Caenorhabditis elegans: one gene and its partners. The protein of the gene in region 2 interacts with the protein of the main gene of each other region in a pairwise test. Each region holds a gene or a part of one and is shown on either strand. Other genes may lie near its edges.

What was found.
Region 1: the proteins of lir-3 (region 2) and hel-1 interact in a two-hybrid assay, tested with the Caenorhabditis elegans proteins (one large-scale study listed by BioGRID).
Region 3: the proteins of lir-3 (region 2) and set-29 interact in a two-hybrid assay, tested with the Caenorhabditis elegans proteins (one large-scale study listed by BioGRID).

What each region holds. Positions count from the first base shown.
Region 1 is NC_003280.10:8,326,352-8,331,526, reverse strand, and holds hel-1 (Spliceosome RNA helicase DDX39B homolog), read left to right. Parts: upstream 1-2,656; 5' UTR 2,657-2,657; coding exon 2,658-2,984; intron 2,985-3,027; coding exon 3,028-3,304; intron 3,305-3,350; coding exon 3,351-3,469; exon of another isoform or gene 3,470-3,594; intron 3,595-3,640; exon of another isoform or gene 3,641-3,831; coding exon 3,832-4,366; intron 4,367-4,412; coding exon 4,413-4,432; 3' UTR 4,433-4,675; downstream 4,676-5,175. Other genes in the region: C26D10.4 (GHMP kinase N-terminal domain-containing protein), read right to left, coding at 240-402, 449-919, 1,450-1,649, 1,696-1,759; C26D10.3 (Pyridine nucleotide-disulfide oxidoreductase domain-containing protein 1), read right to left, coding at 1,937-2,123, 2,171-2,235, 4,695-4,829, 4,878-5,087, 5,135-5,175.
Region 2 is NC_003280.10:11,181,896-11,186,476, reverse strand, and holds lir-3 (Transcription factor lir-3), read left to right. Parts: upstream 1-1,669; 5' UTR 1,670-1,670; coding exon 1,671-1,739; intron 1,740-1,789; coding exon 1,790-1,962; intron 1,963-2,407; coding exon 2,408-2,560; intron 2,561-2,623; coding exon 2,624-2,732; intron 2,733-2,780; coding exon 2,781-3,046; intron 3,047-3,233; coding exon 3,234-3,318; 3' UTR 3,319-3,402; downstream 3,403-4,581. Other genes in the region: sfxn-1.2 (Sidoreflexin), read right to left, coding at 349-424; bigr-1 (HAD family phosphatase), read right to left, coding at 3,447-3,716, 3,764-3,850, 3,899-3,973, 4,568-4,581. UniProt on the Caenorhabditis elegans protein: Positively regulates the RNA polymerase III-associated transcription of small non-coding RNAs.
Region 3 is NC_003279.8:1,403,835-1,412,566, forward strand, and holds the start of set-29 (SET domain-containing protein), read left to right. Parts: upstream 1-2,100; 5' UTR 2,101-2,109; coding exon 2,110-2,538; intron 2,539-4,622; coding exon 4,623-4,802; intron 4,803-7,606; coding exon 7,607-7,781; intron 7,782-8,732.

The DNA of each region.
Region 1 (5,175 bases), 2.9 Mb from region 2:
CTCAGTGGAGGAACAGATGTCTTCCGCTTTTTTTCAATCAACCCGATTGCGGAATCTCGTGATTTTTAATTCAAAATACGATGTCTGGTCTCGATACGACCGAAACTAAAGAGCTACCGTTCATAAGTTTCGTAATCTTCCCACAATATTGTTATAGTTTTGCCCAAATGTTCAAAATAAATTAATAGCACAAAAAATATCTCAAATTTGTTTAAAGGCACGGCAATTCAGTAACTTACCGACTCTTCCTTTAAAATCTTGAAATTTCTTGAAAATTTGTTTTCTTGCATTTGTCCGATCTTGCACATTCTCAGATACTTTTTCATGAATTCCCAACTTATTTTTGATAAATTCTTCTTCACTAGTACACGTTGCTAGAAAAAAATCAAAGAAAAGTGATAACTGAAACATGGCTATCAAAAGTGAAAGATGGTAAATCAAGACATACTTTCAATGGTGTAACGTTCGAATCTACTCCAAGATAAGTGGTTGCTGCTACTGGAAATTCCGAATAAAGTGACAAGAATAATGTAGCAGCATTCAATGGAAGATATATGAAGCCGAGAATTACATGACTGGATTCTTCAAAATGTTTCCCAGCGTATTCTCCATCAAATTCCATTCCAGACAATTTGTTATCTTTATCAACAATATACCATCCATGATGATCAAGCTGATTCTTCTTCTCCAGAAATGTAAACCCAGTTATAGAATCTTGCGGAAGATCAAACATGTTCAATTCCTTTTCGAGCTTCCATGACGCATCGCTACCAACAATCCATACCCCTGTATGCGTTGAATTTGCAGCAATTTTTGAACAGTTTTTGACAGAATTTGACAAATAAGTGTCAAATACATATCCATTACCACCCTTTATTGTTGAATTGTCTTTTGCGTTTTGAAGTGTTCGGGGATCGCTCTGAAAACTGCCAACAACAGTAACCCCTGCGACATATCTATAGATAGTTGAGTGTTCATATAATCCCAGTTTAAATAAACCTAAAGTAACGAAAAAGCATAATAAAACATTCTAAAAAAGTTTTTTCAGACAACGTTTTGACAAATTCCCAAATTTTCAAATGTATTGGCTTTTTGAATAATCTTGAGCATTGATGCAGGTTTTAACCCAGAAGTGTTCTAAAACATGTTTAAAACATACAGTTGAAACGCAATAAATATTAAGCTCGTAGAAATTATTATTTTTTGGTCGGCATCCAAAATTGTGAATGGCGAAAACTCTATTATCATCACTTTTTGACTAAAAATGGAAAATTTCAACACGTTTTAAGATGTTTTACTACACGCCACCGTAAATATTGAAACTTGAGACAAAAAATGTATTTATGCCTATTTCATTGTACAATTATAATTACAGCTATTTCTCAATGTCCAAGAAATTAATTATAATTTTTATTCTACTATTTTATCGAAATAATAAAAAGTACTCACCACCAAAACAATTAACACGTTCACGTCTTGCAAGACGGATTCTGTGAGTACTGTCAAATTATTCCTGTAGCATAGCCTTTCAGCAGTTCTTATTAATGCATTCAATGCACTTCCACAAGATCCTATATCTTCTGATGCATCATTTACTACAAGTATTTCTTCGCAATTCGGAAAGGCGATATTTTGGAAATGTCGTATATCTATAATACGAGTGTGTCTGTAGTTTATATCGTATGAAAATTGAACCTGAATCAATACTACTTGGCTCTATATTGAACCCTAATGAAAATGTGACAATGTCCCAACGCATTTGATAGAGAAAAAGAGTGTAAGAGAGCAAGGAGAATACGACTAGCACTGGTGTATTCCACGTGGTAAAGAGATGGAGACGCAGAAAATGTATAGATGTGAAAAAGATAGTAGAAAACTGGTTTAATATTATTCAAACACAACAAAATGTATAAACATCATACAGTATAATAATAATCTAATCAAAATAATCATCGAGATCAACTCCCGGCTCCAAGAATGTTTCTGAAATGCCTTCTAGATCTGTTTTGTTGAGAATCAGATTTTCGAGTGTCTCCTCCATGTCAGTTTCGCCAATTAGAAGGGCACCGACAATCTTATTTTTGACGACTACACATCGAACGAGTTGATCGTTATCGGCGTCTCTGAATATTAGAGCATGTTTCATTGTAATCTAAAAAGTGTACAGTACCTCAATACAATCTTCCATTCTCCTTCCACCTGTCTCTCTGGTTTGTAGTCTCCAAGAAACACCACCTGAAAGAACATTTGTTTTTCTATGATTCTTTGCACACATCTATCTTTCGGATCGTTTCGCTACTAATATTGTCTTGTGCACTGGACAGCTGTTTACAGCCACATTCCCCCTCTCGTATTTGAACACCCGCCCATTGCTAATTACTTCGCTGCGAGACCATACGAAGCGACGCGTTGCGTGTGCGTCGCGCGTCGAAAATATTCGAATGGGTATCGTTTCGCGGTTTATTCTTCATGAGGAGCAACCGCTCTGCATTTTCCTGTTTTGATCTGTTTTTGTGAGGTTATTTACTAAATTTCTTTTGATTGTTCTATTTGTGACTTTCTCTAATAGGTTAAACACTATTCTCTATTTTCTTCGTGAAATTAGGATTAATCTCAAGCCCCTTTTTATGAAGACCTTTATTTTTTTTTGTTTCAGAATGGAAGAGGAACAACTTCTTGACTACGAAGAGGAGCAGGAGGAGATCCAAGACAAGCAGCCAGAAGTTGGCGGAGGCGATGCCAGAAAAACTAAAGGAACGTATGCTTCTATTCATTCTTCCGGATTTCGTGACTTCCTCTTGAAGCCAGAAATTCTTCGTGCCATCGGAGACTGCGGTTTCGAACATCCATCGGAAGTACAACATGAGTGCATTCCTCAAGCCATTCTTGGAATGGACGTTGTCTGCCAAGCGAAGTCCGGTATGGGTAAAACCGCTGTTTTTGTAATCACCACTCTTCAACAACTGGAGCCAGTGGATGGCGAGGTAAACAGTAATACATCAAATTTCAATAAATCATTGTTTTCAGGTATCTGTTGTTTGCATGTGCCACACTCGCGAGTTGGCATTCCAAATTTCCAAGGAGTATGAGAGATTTAGCAAATATCTCCCAGGAGTCAAGGTAGCTGTCTTTTTCGGTGGAATGGCCATCAAGAAAGATGAGGAACGCCTTGCCAATGACTGTCCACACATTGTTGTTGGAACTCCAGGAAGAATGTTGGCTCTGGCTCGTTCTGGCAAGCTGAAGCTTGACAAAGTCAAGTACTTCGTCCTGGACGAGTGCGACAAGATGATCGGAGATGCTGGTAAGAAATACTTGTAAATATAGGAATCATTATTGAACTTTTTCAGATATGCGTCGGGATGTTCAAGAAATCGTCAAGATGACTCCACAACAGAAGCAAGTGATGATGTTCTCCGCCACATTGCCAAAGGAGCTTCGCACTGTTTGCAAGCGATTCATGCAAGACGTACGCTTTATCTCTGATCCGGAACCTACGGAACCGCTGTTCACTTTTTTGAAACAAAAAACATGTATCAAACCAAAATGCTAGTCATGTGTGTTCCGTGATGCGAAAGAGATGGCCAGAACTTGGTTGGTCGTTAATTCCGAAGTCGCTTTTTGATTTCTCGGATTTCAGATCTCATCTTGTTAAGCCTCTCGCCACGCAGAAGCCATCGTCCTCGGGGGAGGTAGCTGGCTCGCCTCAGCGAAGCTGATTGCTAATAGGTCGAAAGACTTGTCGGGAACACGTGACATGTACTGCAAAACACGTTCCAGCCCCCGATTCATCACCGTGCTGCCGTTCTAGACCTTAAAACATTTTTTCAGCCAATGGAAGTCTACGTCGACGACGAAGCCAAGCTCACTCTGCACGGACTTCAGCAACATTACGTCAAACTGAAGGAAGCCGAGAAGAACCGTCGTTTGCTGAATCTTCTCGATGCACTCGAGTTCAACCAAGTCGTCATTTTCGTCAAGGCCGTAAAACGTTGCGAAGCTCTCCACCAGCTCCTCACAGAACAAAATTTCCCATCAATTGCCATTCATCGTCAAATGGCTCAAGAAGAGCGACTTTCAAGATACCAAGCATTCAAAGACTTCCAAAAGAGAATCTTGGTGGCCACCGATTTGTTTGGACGTGGAATGGATATCGAAAGAGTCAACATCGTGTTCAACTACGACATGCCAGAAGATTCCGACTCGTATCTTCACAGAGTTGCACGTGCTGGTCGTTTTGGAACCAAGGGTTTGGCCATCACTTTCGTTTCTGATGAGAATGACGCCAAGACCTTGAACAGCGTTCAAGACCGCTTCGATATCAGCATCACTGAGCTCCCAGAAAAGATCGATGTCTCTACCTACAGTGAGTTTATATATACCAACGCCCATTCAAAAATTCTTATTTTCAGTCGAAGGCCGAACCAATTGATTCCATGTACCCTCCTATGCATTCAACTAAATATGAGTTCCACCTTCGTTTTACCCGGCATTGTGCTGATGGAGTAAAATGCCTATTGTTTCCCCTAAATTATCGACCTCTGTTTCTTGTGGTCTCATTTACCAATTTTCGTTATCGTTAACAGTTTCCAACTACACGCAAAAAAATTTGACTGTATTATTTATTTTTCTTTTTTCATGAGTGTTTGGAAATAAAATTCGACAATTACCATGCAAATTGTTATTTATCTCACCTTTAACCCGAAAAAAGTCGTACAATGCGAGAACAGTTCGAAATACATATTCTGCATACGAGCCTCTTCGACGCCTGCCACCATCGCTCTTCCACACACTTCTCCTTGCTGACGTGCTTGTGTCCACAATTGTCTCTTAAAATATTTCAACTTTATTTAACACTCAATCTATGGTTATAAAACTTGTTGCCAAAGAGTTGATGGTTCTGTGGTAGTCAGTGCACAAACATCTCCACATGCAAAAACATTAGGAAGTGAGGTTTCGCAAGCGTCGTTGACTTTAATTCCACTATTTTCAGTGATTTGGAGCATTTTATTCATAGCCCAGACTTCTGAGTTGGCAGTTACACCTCCTGCCCAAATAAAAATATCTGGATTGAGCTGGTTATCTGCCTTAATAAAATAACTAGGCTTAATGGTACGATAACTTAAAATGATACCATCTTTTCTTTATCCATGTAATGTACCGACAAATTTTGGG
Region 2 (4,581 bases):
TGTTCCAAGAGTTTGATCAAACTTGGGACAAAATCTGGCGCAGCCTAAATCCAGGTCTTGTCAAAATCTTGCCCAACTTTCGCCGAAGTTTTGCCAATTTCTCATCAACGTTAATAGTTTTGGGCAAAACGTGGGCAAGAAGCTAGAGCCAAATACCGAATAATTCGATGAAAAAGGTGTCCAATGTGCTATTATTGAAAAAGGTGTCCAATGTGCTTCGCGATGTGCTATTATTCACTTTGAAAAATGCAAGAATTTTGCAATGCACCGCACATTAACTTTCAGATACATCCCATCTAAACAGTCTTAACTTCGCTGGCACTTTTTGGCAACCTGAAGAATTCTTACCGTAATATGTCCTTTGACTCCATTGTGGCTTCGATATATCTGGACGAGTCTTTAGATTGCTGACAAGCTCACTCATTTTAATCAAATGAGAACTAATAAATGAATTGTTCTGTGGTTTTGTAACGTTTTTTTTGTTTCTTTATTTTTAATTTGTTAGACCGTGATTTACGTGGCACTTATGTATATATTTTTAATTGTCTCATATCCAAATTTTATAATTTTTCAGAATTGAAAAACTGAAATATAAACTTCTGAAAAAAAAGAGTTCCTCTCTCCCGTTTTCAAACGGAAATTGTGAGTCAGAAGTTTTGGTTTCAGAGAAGGCAAGAGGAAAAAGTACAGCAGCGAATTGTTTAGGAAACTCTTTGATTATTCATCATTTGTCAGAAAAATTGTGAAAATAGAAGGAAGAGAAAATGAACTGAAAGTTTCAAAAATTTTCTGGCTTCATCCGGCAGTTTTTTTTTGCAGCAAACATTTTTTGAATTTTTTTGAAATAATTTTTAAAGCATTTTTAGTGCTCTAGATTATTTTAGGATAAAAACCCATCAACTTAAATATAAAAAAATAGTCTTTTTATCCGAAAATAATTTTTGTTTTACTTGAAACAACTGCAAAAGTGCCGAGCAATACGAAAATTGCTTGAAAAACCAGAGAATTTATCGGAAAAAATTTCCGGCAATTTTTGTGCACTTTTTCAGATGTTCCAAGTCAAATAAAAATAATTTTCAAATAAAGCAAAATAAATTTTCCGAAATACGGTAGCTTTAAAAAGTTACAATATTCTTAAAGTCCCCACCCAAACCTTCTTTATTAAAATCTCCCCATCACCTTTTTGCAATATATTGCAAAATCCAACAGCTATGCATTTGAATCCAAACAGCAGTCTCCGCAGCCTCTCCCTCTCTTTCCTTCCCCCTTCCACCACCCAATTCCCCAGTCCGTCAGTACACGTATGTCTGTACACTCTTCATCTTGCACACTCTCTCAGTCCCCACTCACTGCCTGCATCGCAGCACTGCTTGTCCTTCGATCGATGACCGCCTGCTGACTGCTGTTGACTGCCCGCATGCTGCTGCCTGCTGGCTGAATTATCTCATCACTATAGGCCACTTATGCTCAGTTTTTTTTCTTTGTTTCTAGAAATTCATTACCGTAGGATTTTAGTAGGAAATTATTTGAGTTTTTTTCAACCTGATTTTTCGCCGAGAATTTAGGAAAATTTGGAAAGAAAGGGAGGATTTTTTTCAAGGTTTTTTTCCTCATATTTCTCCGAATTCTTCCGTGACTTTTAAGATATTGTAACTAATTTTTTTCTCAGAATGGATCCAAAATTTCTCGTAGTAGAAATAGACTCAAAGGAGCGAGCACTTCAGTTGGTTCAAGTTATGGTGGGTTTTTCTAGTGAAAAATAACTAAATTGGAAAAAAAAAAGTTTCAGCTAGAAAATGGATTTGCTCGATTCATGCTGTTGGACGATCTTTCGCGACACCCGACTCTCGACAGAATCCAGAGAGAAGAGCCAAGAATTTCAAGAGATGAACTCCGTGAAACAGCTTCATCTCCTGTCACATTTGAAACTCGACATTCTCCATATCCAGTGCATGAGCAAAAGTAGGTGGTTTTTTTTTAAATATTTTTTATTTAAAAAATGGAAATTTTTGAGATCAAACCTTATATTTCACAAACAATTCAGAAAAATTCACTCTTAAAAGAACCAATAAAAAAGGTTTTATTTTGTCGAAAACTTCTCTTTCGCCAAAAAAAAAATTTCCGAAGCCTCACCTTCTGCCTTTATTTGCTGTATATTCTCTACTAGTCTTTCAAAAAGTTATATCTCGGTTCATTTCAAAGATATCAATAAATAATCAACAGCAAATCTATAGAAAAACATTTAACAAATATTTTGTCAGTCGAAAGTTTTTCAATAAAACAAACGACAACTGAGTTATCAAATTTATCAGTTGGTTGAAATACTATTAGAGGAAATACGGTATAATACTTAGCAGAAAAGTTTTTACAAATAAAATTTGCGACTTTAAGTTCATCAAATTTTCAGAGTTCTATTTCCATCGTTTTCACAAGTTTCGAATTCAATGGTGACATCTACGGGCATCCGACAGGAAGCTTCAAGTGTTGGTGTTGGACCGATTGAAGACGACGATATTGTTGAGGAGGAGGAGGAAGAGGATATTCGACTTACTAGCAAGCCGTGAGTTTATCTACTTTAATAAATCTACTGGACATTCGAGAAATTAAAAAAAAAAGATTTCAGGTGTGTCAAACGCCGTTATGATCATCACGCCGAGGAACAGGAGTATAGAGATCAACTGATGAGCTTGTTGAGTGGAGAACCGGAAATTGTGCCTATAGGTGTCAACTCGGTTAGTAGTTTTTTCTATATTCCAAGACTCACAATTCCTCATTTTCAGAACGACGAACCATCTGGCTCCAACTCGGATTCTGCCGCGAAAAAGGCCAAATCCGTCGGCGACTACCATGAATGTCAGCTCTGTGGAGTTCGAGTCAAAACGCCTAGAAGCGGTCGATGGAATCTCCAAATGCATGTGATTGCTCTTCATTGTGTTGGAAGACAATATAAATGCAAGCAGTGTGATTACTTGGACTATCGAAAATCAACGATGAGAAAACATACGGTTTCGCAGCATGGAAGTGACATTCCGCCGCATAATATTACGTGAGTTTTGGAGTTTTTTCAAATCAAAATTTCAAATATAAATATTTTAAAACAATACCTAAACATCCCCATGCTGCTAGAATCAATACAATTTATTTTAAAAAGGCTTTGAAATATTAATTGAAATGAAATTATTTGTGAACAATTTTTGTAGAAGTTTCAAATTTAAAAAATCATATTTTTCCAGGGACAACATAATGAAAGCTGAATGGCATGCTGCAATGATAAAATGTTTCCCTGAATTTGCTCACAGAACTGGGTTCTTAAACTGATTCATCGCTCTCATCGCCAAATTATTTATTTTTTGATACCATTCCAATTTATTATATTCCTGATAAAAAGTGACAATTTGATAATTATATTGCAGTTATAAAGCGGTTAGATATACATACATCACCAATTAGATCAGCTTAACCTTAGTGAAACCCTCAAGTTCATGAATCGCCTTTTCAATGTCTTCTACTAAAATTGTGTTCCATCCGAGCTTTTCTGCAGCTTCAATGTTTTCATGGAGGTCATCCAAAAACACAATTTCCTCTGGTTTGACTCCGAGTCTTTTCTCAACTAAATGATAAAATCGAGCGTCTGGTTTCATGAGATGCTCCAAACAAGATTCTACAACTTCATCGAAATGTGTCAAATCGCATGGAAGTCTGGTTTCCTTGTGCTCCTGAAAATCATTGAACAAATTTTCAATATTGATAGGAACTCGATTACCTTATCTAAGAACATGTTGTTTGTCAGCATGGCGGTTTTGAAGCCCTTCTTGTGAAGAATTTCCACGGTTTTTTGCATATTTTTGTGCTGAAAATGCTAGGTTCAGGGCAAAGTTTAGAAACATTTTAAGCTTACAATTTTAACATTTTCTCCACGAAGGCACTCGGTGAATGGTTTTATCACAACGTTGTCAGTCAGCTTGTTTCCATACTGAAAGTTTAAAAAGTAAGAAAAAATTTCAAAAACTTTGTTTTGAAAATAAGGAAATTCATGAAACTTGCAATAAATTTGAATTTCAAACTTCCTAAAAATGTAGGAACGATGTTTCAGCTGTATCTTTCTGAAATTTTTTCCAAAAAATAAAGTCGATGGAACGTTCAAGTTTTTTTATAAAAATTGATGGATGTTCAGATTTAAATTCTCCAAAAAATCTTGGGGGAAATTTACATGTATTTTTCGAAAAAAATTGAAATTTCAAAACTTCAGAAAAATTTGGCGCATGTACCAATATGCATATTTTTTTGTGAAAAAATTTAGAACTTGACTCACAAGAAAATTTGCGAGAATTTCAAAATTCAATATTTCAACAGAAATTTTTTTCCCGAGATTCACATTGTAAACTTTTTTAAAAATTTAGGGAACAAAGCAGGAATATCAAAATTCCAGTGTTCAAAAAAAATTCGACGGGAAAATTCAAAATATAATTTTTAAAAAACATTTTTGGCCAAAAAAGTGTTTTACAAAAGTCAAAATTCATTTTTTAAGAGACGCTTAAAAATTCAAAATTGATTAAACCTCGCCTACCTTATGCTTCAAAT
Region 3 (8,732 bases), on a different chromosome or scaffold from region 2:
TTTTTTTTGCAAATTTTCTAAATTTTTCGAAAAAAACCCCCGAAAATCAAACAGACATTTTTCTGAAAAATAGAGCTGAAATCGGAAAATCGGGGTAGTTGAAATCTACGGGGTTCGGAATTCCATTGAGCACGTGGTGCCAGGTTGTCTCATCACGGTTTGATCTACAAAAAATGCGGGAATTTTTTGCCCAAAAAAATGTGACGTCAGCTCGTTCTTAATCATGAGAAATCAGTTAAAAACTCTGCGTCTCCTCTTCTCCCGCATTTTTGGTAGATCAACGTAGATCAAGCCAAAATGAGACAAAGTGACAGAATTTCTTATATTTTTTTCCACATTTTCAATATTTTCGGAAAATAAAAATTTTAGGAAAAATAAAATTCTTGAATTTTGAAATTTCGGCGTCAAAATTAGTACTTTTGCAGTTGAAAGTTTGCCTAAATAGATATTTTAAAAAATATTTGGAATTACAAACAAAAAAATCATTATTCTCACATTTTTACAGATATTTTTTCCCAAATTTCTAACCAAAATTTCAAATCTAAAATTTTCGTAAATTTCTAAAAAAAAATTTGCAGGCGTCAAAATCTAGTTTTTAGAAAAAAAATTTTTTTTTTTGGATTTTTTTCAGAAAAAAAGCTTTAAAAAAATTTTTTTGAAACACGCACTTTTTGTCGATTTTTCCCAATTTTTTCTCTCTTTCTATGCAATTTTTATTATCAACTACACTTTTTTTCTGTTGTTGTAATATTTGTATTATTATATACTCACCTGGTGCCAGGGGCTGTCCCATTACGGTTTGATCTACAAAAAATGCGGGAATTTTTCGCCCAAAAAAATGTGACGTCAACCACACGTTCTTAGCCATGCGAAATTTAAACAGTTCTCTGAATAATAAAAAAAATTGATTTTACAAAAAAGACCAAAATTCTTAAGATAACAAAACTTTTTGGGTCTCGAGGCGAAAATGTGCGACAGAGCGTACTTGCATTAATTTTTACAAAGTAGCATTTTTTGGAATAACATTTTTTAATTTCCAAATAAACATTTATGTAAGTACGCTCTATCGGACATTTTTCTAAAAAGTTCATTTTCTTGAAAAACAGAGAAAAATTGGATTTTTTGCAATTTTTCTGAATTTTTCGAAAAAAAAACCCCGAAAATCAGACAGACTTTCGGTTTGACGGTTTAATCTACAAAAAATGCGGGATTTTTTTGCCCAAAAAAATGTGACGTCAACCACACGTTCTTAACCATACGAAATCAGATGAGAACTCTGCGTCTCCTCTTTTCCCGCATTTTTTGTAGATCTACGTAGATCAAGCCGAAATGGGGCACTCTGACACCATGTGTATCCCCCTTCTTAAAATTTTACATTCCATTCCACTTTTTCTCTCTTGGATTTTCTGTACGACGTGTATGAACTATCAAAAAAAAACGGTTACCTAGCAATTTTTTGTCATTTTTTATATATACAATTTTTTTGTTAATAAAAATTTTTTGTAATTTTTTGCCGAAATTTCCATAATTTTTGATTTGAAAATCAACTTTCAGCTATCTTTTTTTCATTGATTTTTTGAAATTTTCAAATCCAAACAGTGCAATTGCGCTCCATTGATAAGCATCACGATGTCCTGTAGTCTGCGTGGACAAGACAAAATAGAATTTTTTTTTTTCAAAAAACATTTTGGCGGGCAATTTGAATTTTCCAAAAATTATGAGCGGGAAATTCAAATTTTCTCCGAAAACATTCGGAAATTTTAATTTTTTCAAAAAAATATTTTTTATTTTCCAACCATTTTTTTCATGGAATTCTAGCTTCCCTCATATATTGAAACGGAAGAGTTTTTGCCGAACTAGGCCATTTTGGCTCAGTAGATTTACGGCGCGTCGCGTGGCTCGATTTTAGTTGTAAAACTAAATGAACTTGTCCGTGTGGAGTACACGACTTTCCCGTCCGGCAGGCGATTGTCAATGGAGCGCGAAACAATTCAAACTCCTGCAAAAATGTCCATGTGGAGTACACGAGTACACGGTGTGAATTATCAATGGAGCGCGTTTACCCACGCCTTGAAAACGAAATTTTTTTAAACATTTCAGCCCTAAAAAATGAACGAATTCATTTCCTGGTGCAAAGGCCGTGGCTATCAATTCGATGGCCTAGAAATCACATGTCCACCACCCGGAAATTGCGGGAACGGAATCTACGCGACAACAGGATTCCGTACTGGAAAAGCGTTTATAACTCTTCCAGAGACTGATATGATCAACGCGGCACTTGTCGTAGATCTCCCGGTTTATCGCAAAAAATTGGCAAAAATCGGCGGAGAAAAACTGAAGCCAATGGAGATTTTGACAATGTTTTTCGCGTTTGAAGACACGGAACACTCCGCCTGGTCACCTTATTTAAAAGTTTTACCAAAGGAATTTAATACGCCAGCTTTTAAGGGAATTGACTATGATGTGAATACTCTTCCGTTGTCTATTCGAAAATATTGGATTGATCAGAAAAAGGAAATTTCCGAGATTTCGGAAAAGGTAGTGAAAAGTGTCACGAAAAATCCAATTTTTCTCCGATTTTCGGGGGTTTTTCTTCAAAAAAGTTCCAAAAAATTCAGAAAAATTGCAAAAAATTTCAATTTTTCTCCGATTTTCTGGTTTTTTACCCAAAAAAGAGCCAAAAAATTCAGAAAAATTGCAAAAAATTCTAATTTTTTTCGGATTTTCTGGGTTTTTTCTTTAAAAAAAAAAGCCAAAATTTCAAATTTTCTCTGATCACGTGGTGCCAGAGTGTCTTATTTCGGCTTGATTTACGTTGATCTACAAAAAATGCGGGAAAAGAGACGCAGAGTTTTTAACTGATTTCTCATGGTTAAGAACGTGCTGACGTCACATTTTTCTGGGCGAAAAATTCCCGCATTTTTTGTAGATCAAACCGTGATGGGACAGTCTGTCTGATTTTCGGGGTTTTTTTTTCGAAAAATTCAGAAAATTTGCAAAAAAAAATTTTAATTTTGTAAAAATTAATGTAAATACGCTCTATCAGACATTTTCCGGGGCTTAAAGTGATTTTTTGGTTTCAGGAGTGCGATAGAGAGCATTTGCAATAATTTTCGGGAGAAAAGTTAGCGAAAATCGCTTCAAGACCCGGAAAAATGTTTTTTTTTGTTATTTTCAAAAATTAAATAAAAAATTTGAAAAACTTTTTTTGAATCTTTGCAAAAAATCATTTTTTTTCAAAATTGTTTCTTTTTTTTCAAGATTTCGGAAAAGGTAGTGAGAAGTCAAAAAAAAATCCAATTTTCTCCGATTTTCGGGGTTTTTTTTTGTTGGAAAAAAAAGTGCAAAAAATTTCAAATGTTCTCTGATCACGTGGTGTCAGTGTGTCTTATTACGGCTTGATCTACGTTGATCTACAAAAAATGCGGCAGAGTACTCAACTGATTTCGCATGGTTAAGAACGTGCTGAAGTCGCATTTGTTCGGGAAAAAATTGGGACAGTCTGTCTGATTTTCGGGGGTTTTTTTTCGAAAAATTCAGAAAAATTGCAAAAAATCCAATTTTTCTCTGTTTTTCAAGAAAATGAACTTTTTAGAAAAATGTCCGATAGAGCGTACTTATATAAATGTTTATTTGGAAATTAAAAAAATGTTATTCCAAAAAATGCTACTTTGTAAAAATTAATGCAAGTACGCTCTGTCGCACATTTTCGCCTCGAGACCCAAAAGGTTTTGTTATCTCAAAAATTTTGGTATTTTTTGAATAAAAACCTCGTTTTATAATATTTCTTCGAGATTTTCATCAATTTTCGGGTTTTATTTGAAAAAAAAACGTTTTGAAATTATAAAAATTATCACGAAAATAAAACAAAATTCTGAGAATGCGTATTGCACAACATATTTGACGCGCTAAATATCTCGTAGCGAAAACTACAGTAATTTTTTTAAATGACTACTGTAGCGCTTGTGGCGATTTACGGGATCTCATTCTTCGAAAAAAAGAAAATGGAGATCCCGTAAATCGACACAAGAGCTACAGTATTAATTGAATGGATTACTGTAGTTTTCGCTACGAGATATTTTGCGCGTCAAATATGTTGTGCAATACGCATTTTCAGAATTTTGTGTTCCCGTAATAAAGTTAAAATCTATACGATTTTTTAAATTCAATGTAATCTTTTTTTTAAAGAAAGTGTAGCCAAAATTCGAAACATTGATGAGCAATTACGCTCTGTCGCACACTTTTTTTTTCAGAAAATTGTCTCGAGCCACGTGGGGTGCCAGGGGCTGTCCCATTACGGTTTGATCTACAAAAAATGCGGGAATTTTTGTGTCCAACAAAATGTAACGTCAGCTTGAGAATTCTGCGTCGACATTCTCCCGCATTTTTTGTAGATCAGCATAGATCAAGCCGAAATGAGAGACTCTGCTACCACGTGCGTGCCGAGTCCAAAAACAATTATTTGGGTAGAGAGCAAAATTTTTGATAATAAGTTTTTTGTTTTTACAGATTTTTTACAGAATGCCAATTTTGAAGAAAACCCCCAAAATACAGGGAAATTTCAAATTCCCGCCCCCCCCCCCCCCCCCATCATTATCACTAGAGCACACTTGCATTTTCAGCTCCGCCGCCTCTTTCCCGAACTGAGCCACGACAAGATATTATGGGCGTGGCATGTGGTGAATACTCGGTGCATTTTCGTTGAAAATGAAGAGCACGATAATGTGGATAATAGTGATGGAGATACGATTGCAGTTATTCCATATGTTGATATGCTTAATCATGATCCGGAAAAATATCAGGTTCGGGAAAAACTAAGAAAAATTGGAAAAATTTCAGTTTTTTCTGATTTTTTTCGATTTTTCTGGCGAATTTATGTGAAAATTCAGGTTTTTAGGGCATTTTTTGATGGAAATCTGAATATTTCCGCTTTTTCTGATGGATTTATGTGAAAATTCAGGTTTTTAGGGCATTTTTTGAGGGAAATCTGATTTTTTTTCGATTTTCTGGCGAATTTATGTGAAAATTCAGGTTTTTAGGGCATTTTTTGAGGGAAATCTGAATTTTTTCGGTTTTTCGGATGGATTTATGTGAAAATTTTAAGGTTTAGGGTATTTTTACGGGAAAAATGGATTTTTAGCCGTTTTTTGTGGAAAATTCCGATTTTTTGCCGAATTTTTAAGAAAATTTCGGATCAAAAAAGACTTTTCAGGCTTTTAGGAACATTTTTTAAAGGAAATCTGAATATTTCCGCTTTTTCTGATGGATTTATGTGAAAATTCAGGTTTTTAGGGCATTTTTTGATGGAAATCTGAATATTTCCGCTTTTTCTGATGGATTTATGTGAAAATTCAGGTTTTTAGGGCATTTTTTGAGGGAAATCTGATTTTTTTTCGATTTTCTGGCGAATTTATGTGAAAATTCAGGTTTTTAGGGCATTTTTTGAGGGAAATCTGAACTTTTCCGATTTTTCCAACCAATTTCTGTGAAAATGCAGGTTTTCGAGACACATTTTTGAAGGAAATCGTAAAATGTTCGGTTTTTCTGAAGGATTTATGTGAAAAAAAAAATTTTTGAACATGGATCCCTGAGAAAATTTATTTTAAAAAGCTGAAAAATGCGCGAAAATTCTTAATTTTTATTGAAACTTTTATTATTTTTTGATGACATTAATATCAAAATCCGGCAAAAAATAATACATTTTTTGAAAAAAAAAATTCGAAAAATCGCAAAATATTTTTTTGTCGAAAAAAAGTTTTTTTTTTTGAAACGTGGCACTCACGTTGTGTCAGAGTGTCCCATTTCGGCTTGATCTACGTTGATCTACAAAAAATGCGGGAAAATGAGACGCAGAGTTCTCAACTGATTTTGTCACATTTTTTTGGGCAAAAAATACCCGCATTTTTTGTAGATCAAACCGTATTGAGGCAACGTGGCAACACACCTCAGATTTTGAAAAAAATTGAGGATAGCGGGCCCTGCGGGCCCGCCAGTTGTAGGGGGTGTAAGGCGAGTCTCCTTGCCGGTTCAGTTCAAGCTGAGTTTTGATTGATTGAAGTTTGAGGAGGCTTTATATTAGGGGAGACGTACCCATATTTTGTATAAAATCGAGTATTTCTATTCGAATCCCGATTACTCACAAAAAACAAAAAATTTATCACTTGGTAGAATTGAACCAACTACCAAAATTTCTGCAGTCATACGCACTAACCACCCGGCCATGCGGGAGAGAGCTCAAACTGGAAGTAAGGAATGTAAATTTCTGAAGGGAGTCGTCTTTCAATTCCGCTTTCTTCAATTATGACTATTTGGGGAAAGACGTTCGAAAACCGTTTATCACTGATAAGTCAGCGGGAAACCTAATTTTTGAAAGTTTTATTACAGCATTGTACTCATCATAAAATTCCCGAAAGGGAGACGTACAGTTAAGGGCTATATCTTGTACACAGACAGATGTATAGAAAAAAACATGTTTTGGCCTGAAAATAAATAAAAAATAATATCTCTTGGCAGAGCATTGCTAATGCGACGAAACTTCATCTTTCATTAGATAAAATCAAAAACTATGAATAAAAAATATATTCCGCAAAACTTTAGTGGATAAAATGTTCAGGGGACCCAGGAAACCACTCCCCCCAGTACTAAATTTTTGAATTATTTTTTTCTTGAAAAATTTTCCCACTGAACTTTTTACAAATTTTATATGTCTCGATGCGTCTTGATGAGACCTACACGTCAATTTTTAGAAAACTAAGAAAACTTAAAAACTGACCGAGTTATGATTGAAAAAGTAGATTCACGAAAATGGAAAAGTGTGCAAAATTTGGCACTTATTCGTCTTGCTCGGCCGACTCATAGAACTTTTCTCAATTCTGAGTTAAACATCGTGTTTAGCGTATTTTTTTACGTGGGGTAAGCAAAAAAAATATCAAAAAAGATGAAGTAGAACTTGAGATAAAGACGAAAAACTACTTTTTCGGAAAAAAAAATTTTTTTTGGCAAAATGGCATTTTTTTACCTTTTGTTTTATCACAACTTTTTTTCGTTTGCACTTATGAACTCAAACTTTTTTTCAAAAAATCAGTCTCTCTGAGTAGTATCTTGCACATGAATTTGAAATGAAACCGAGCAAAACCCGAATTTTAATTCAATTAAAACATGGTTTTTTGGGGGTAAAAAGAGCAAAAAATTTTTTTTTCAAACTGGGGAAAGCCGCCCTGGGCTCAATTTTGCTCTGAACTTAGTTCCGTTTTCTGCTCCACCGTGGGGCAAAATATTTCTAGTAGGATTTCAAATATTAGAGCATGATGTCGCGCGGCTCTGGAGTTATTAATGAAAACGAAGTGGGACATTTTTTCGCAAGCCAAAAAAAACGCGAAAAAGGGGCGGAGTCGCCACACTCGGCATTTATTAGAGGCTGCTTGGCAGAAAAATCAATTTTTTTTGAAAATTTCTTTCAAAATTTCCAGGTTCCAAGGAATACCGATTTTTCAGGAAACTAACCGAAAAAAAAAACAAAAAGTTTCGAATTTTCAAATACTGCTGAAAAAATAATGTTTTGAAAAACAACACTATAATTTTACAGTAAAAAAAATCCAATTTCCAGGGTCTCGCACTTCATGAAAAGCGAAACGGGCGGTACGTTGTCCAGGCGAAGCGTCAAATTCAAGAAGGCGAACAAATATTCGTGTGTTATGGTGCACATGACAATGCTCGGCTGCTCGTCGAGTACGGCTTCACACTGCCACACAATTTGGGCGCTAAAGTGCTCATTCCGCAAGGTACCGTACTCTTACAGTACCCCGACCATATCCCCCAACTAACCGCAAACCAATATCCCTTCAAAAAACCAAAAGTGATTTTTTTCTAAAACTACAGTAATCCTACAGTACCCCTACAGTACCCCGACAATATCCCCCCGCTTACCCCAAACCATTATCCCTTCAAAAAAAGAAAAGTCATTTTTTTTTCCAAAACTACAGTAATCCTACAGTACCCCAACCATATCCCCCGCTGACCCCAAACCATTATCCCTTCAAAAAACGAAAAGTCAGTTTTGCTAAACTACAGTAATCCTAGAGTTATCCTACCGTAATCCTACAGTACCCCGACAATATCCCCCCCACTGACCCCAAACCAATATCCCTTCAAAAATCGAAAATTCATATTTTTCTTAATCTACAGTAATCCTACAGTGCCCCTACAGTACCCCGACAATATCCCCCCGCTGACCCCAAACCAATATCCCGTCAAAAAACGAAAATTCATATTTTTCTTAATCTACAGTAATCCTACAGTGCCCCTACAATACTACTACAGTACCCCGACCATATCCCCACTAATCCCGAACCAATATCCCTTTAACAGACGAATAGTTATTTTTCCTGAAATACAGTAATCCTATCGTACCTCTACAGTACTACTTCAGTACCCCGACCATTTCCCCCACTAACCTTAAACCAATATCCCGTCAAAAGACGAAAAGTAAATTTTTCTAAAACTACAGTAATCCTACAGTACTCCGACCATATCCCTCCACTAATCTGAAGTTATTATTCCTTCAAAAAACGAAAATTCATGTTTTTCTAAACTACAGTAATCCTACAGTACACCTACAGTTGTACTACAGTACCCCGACCATATCCCTCCACTAATCTGAAGTTATTATTCCTTCAAAAAACGAAAATTCATGTTTTTCTAAACTATAGTAATCCTACAGTACCCCTACAGTA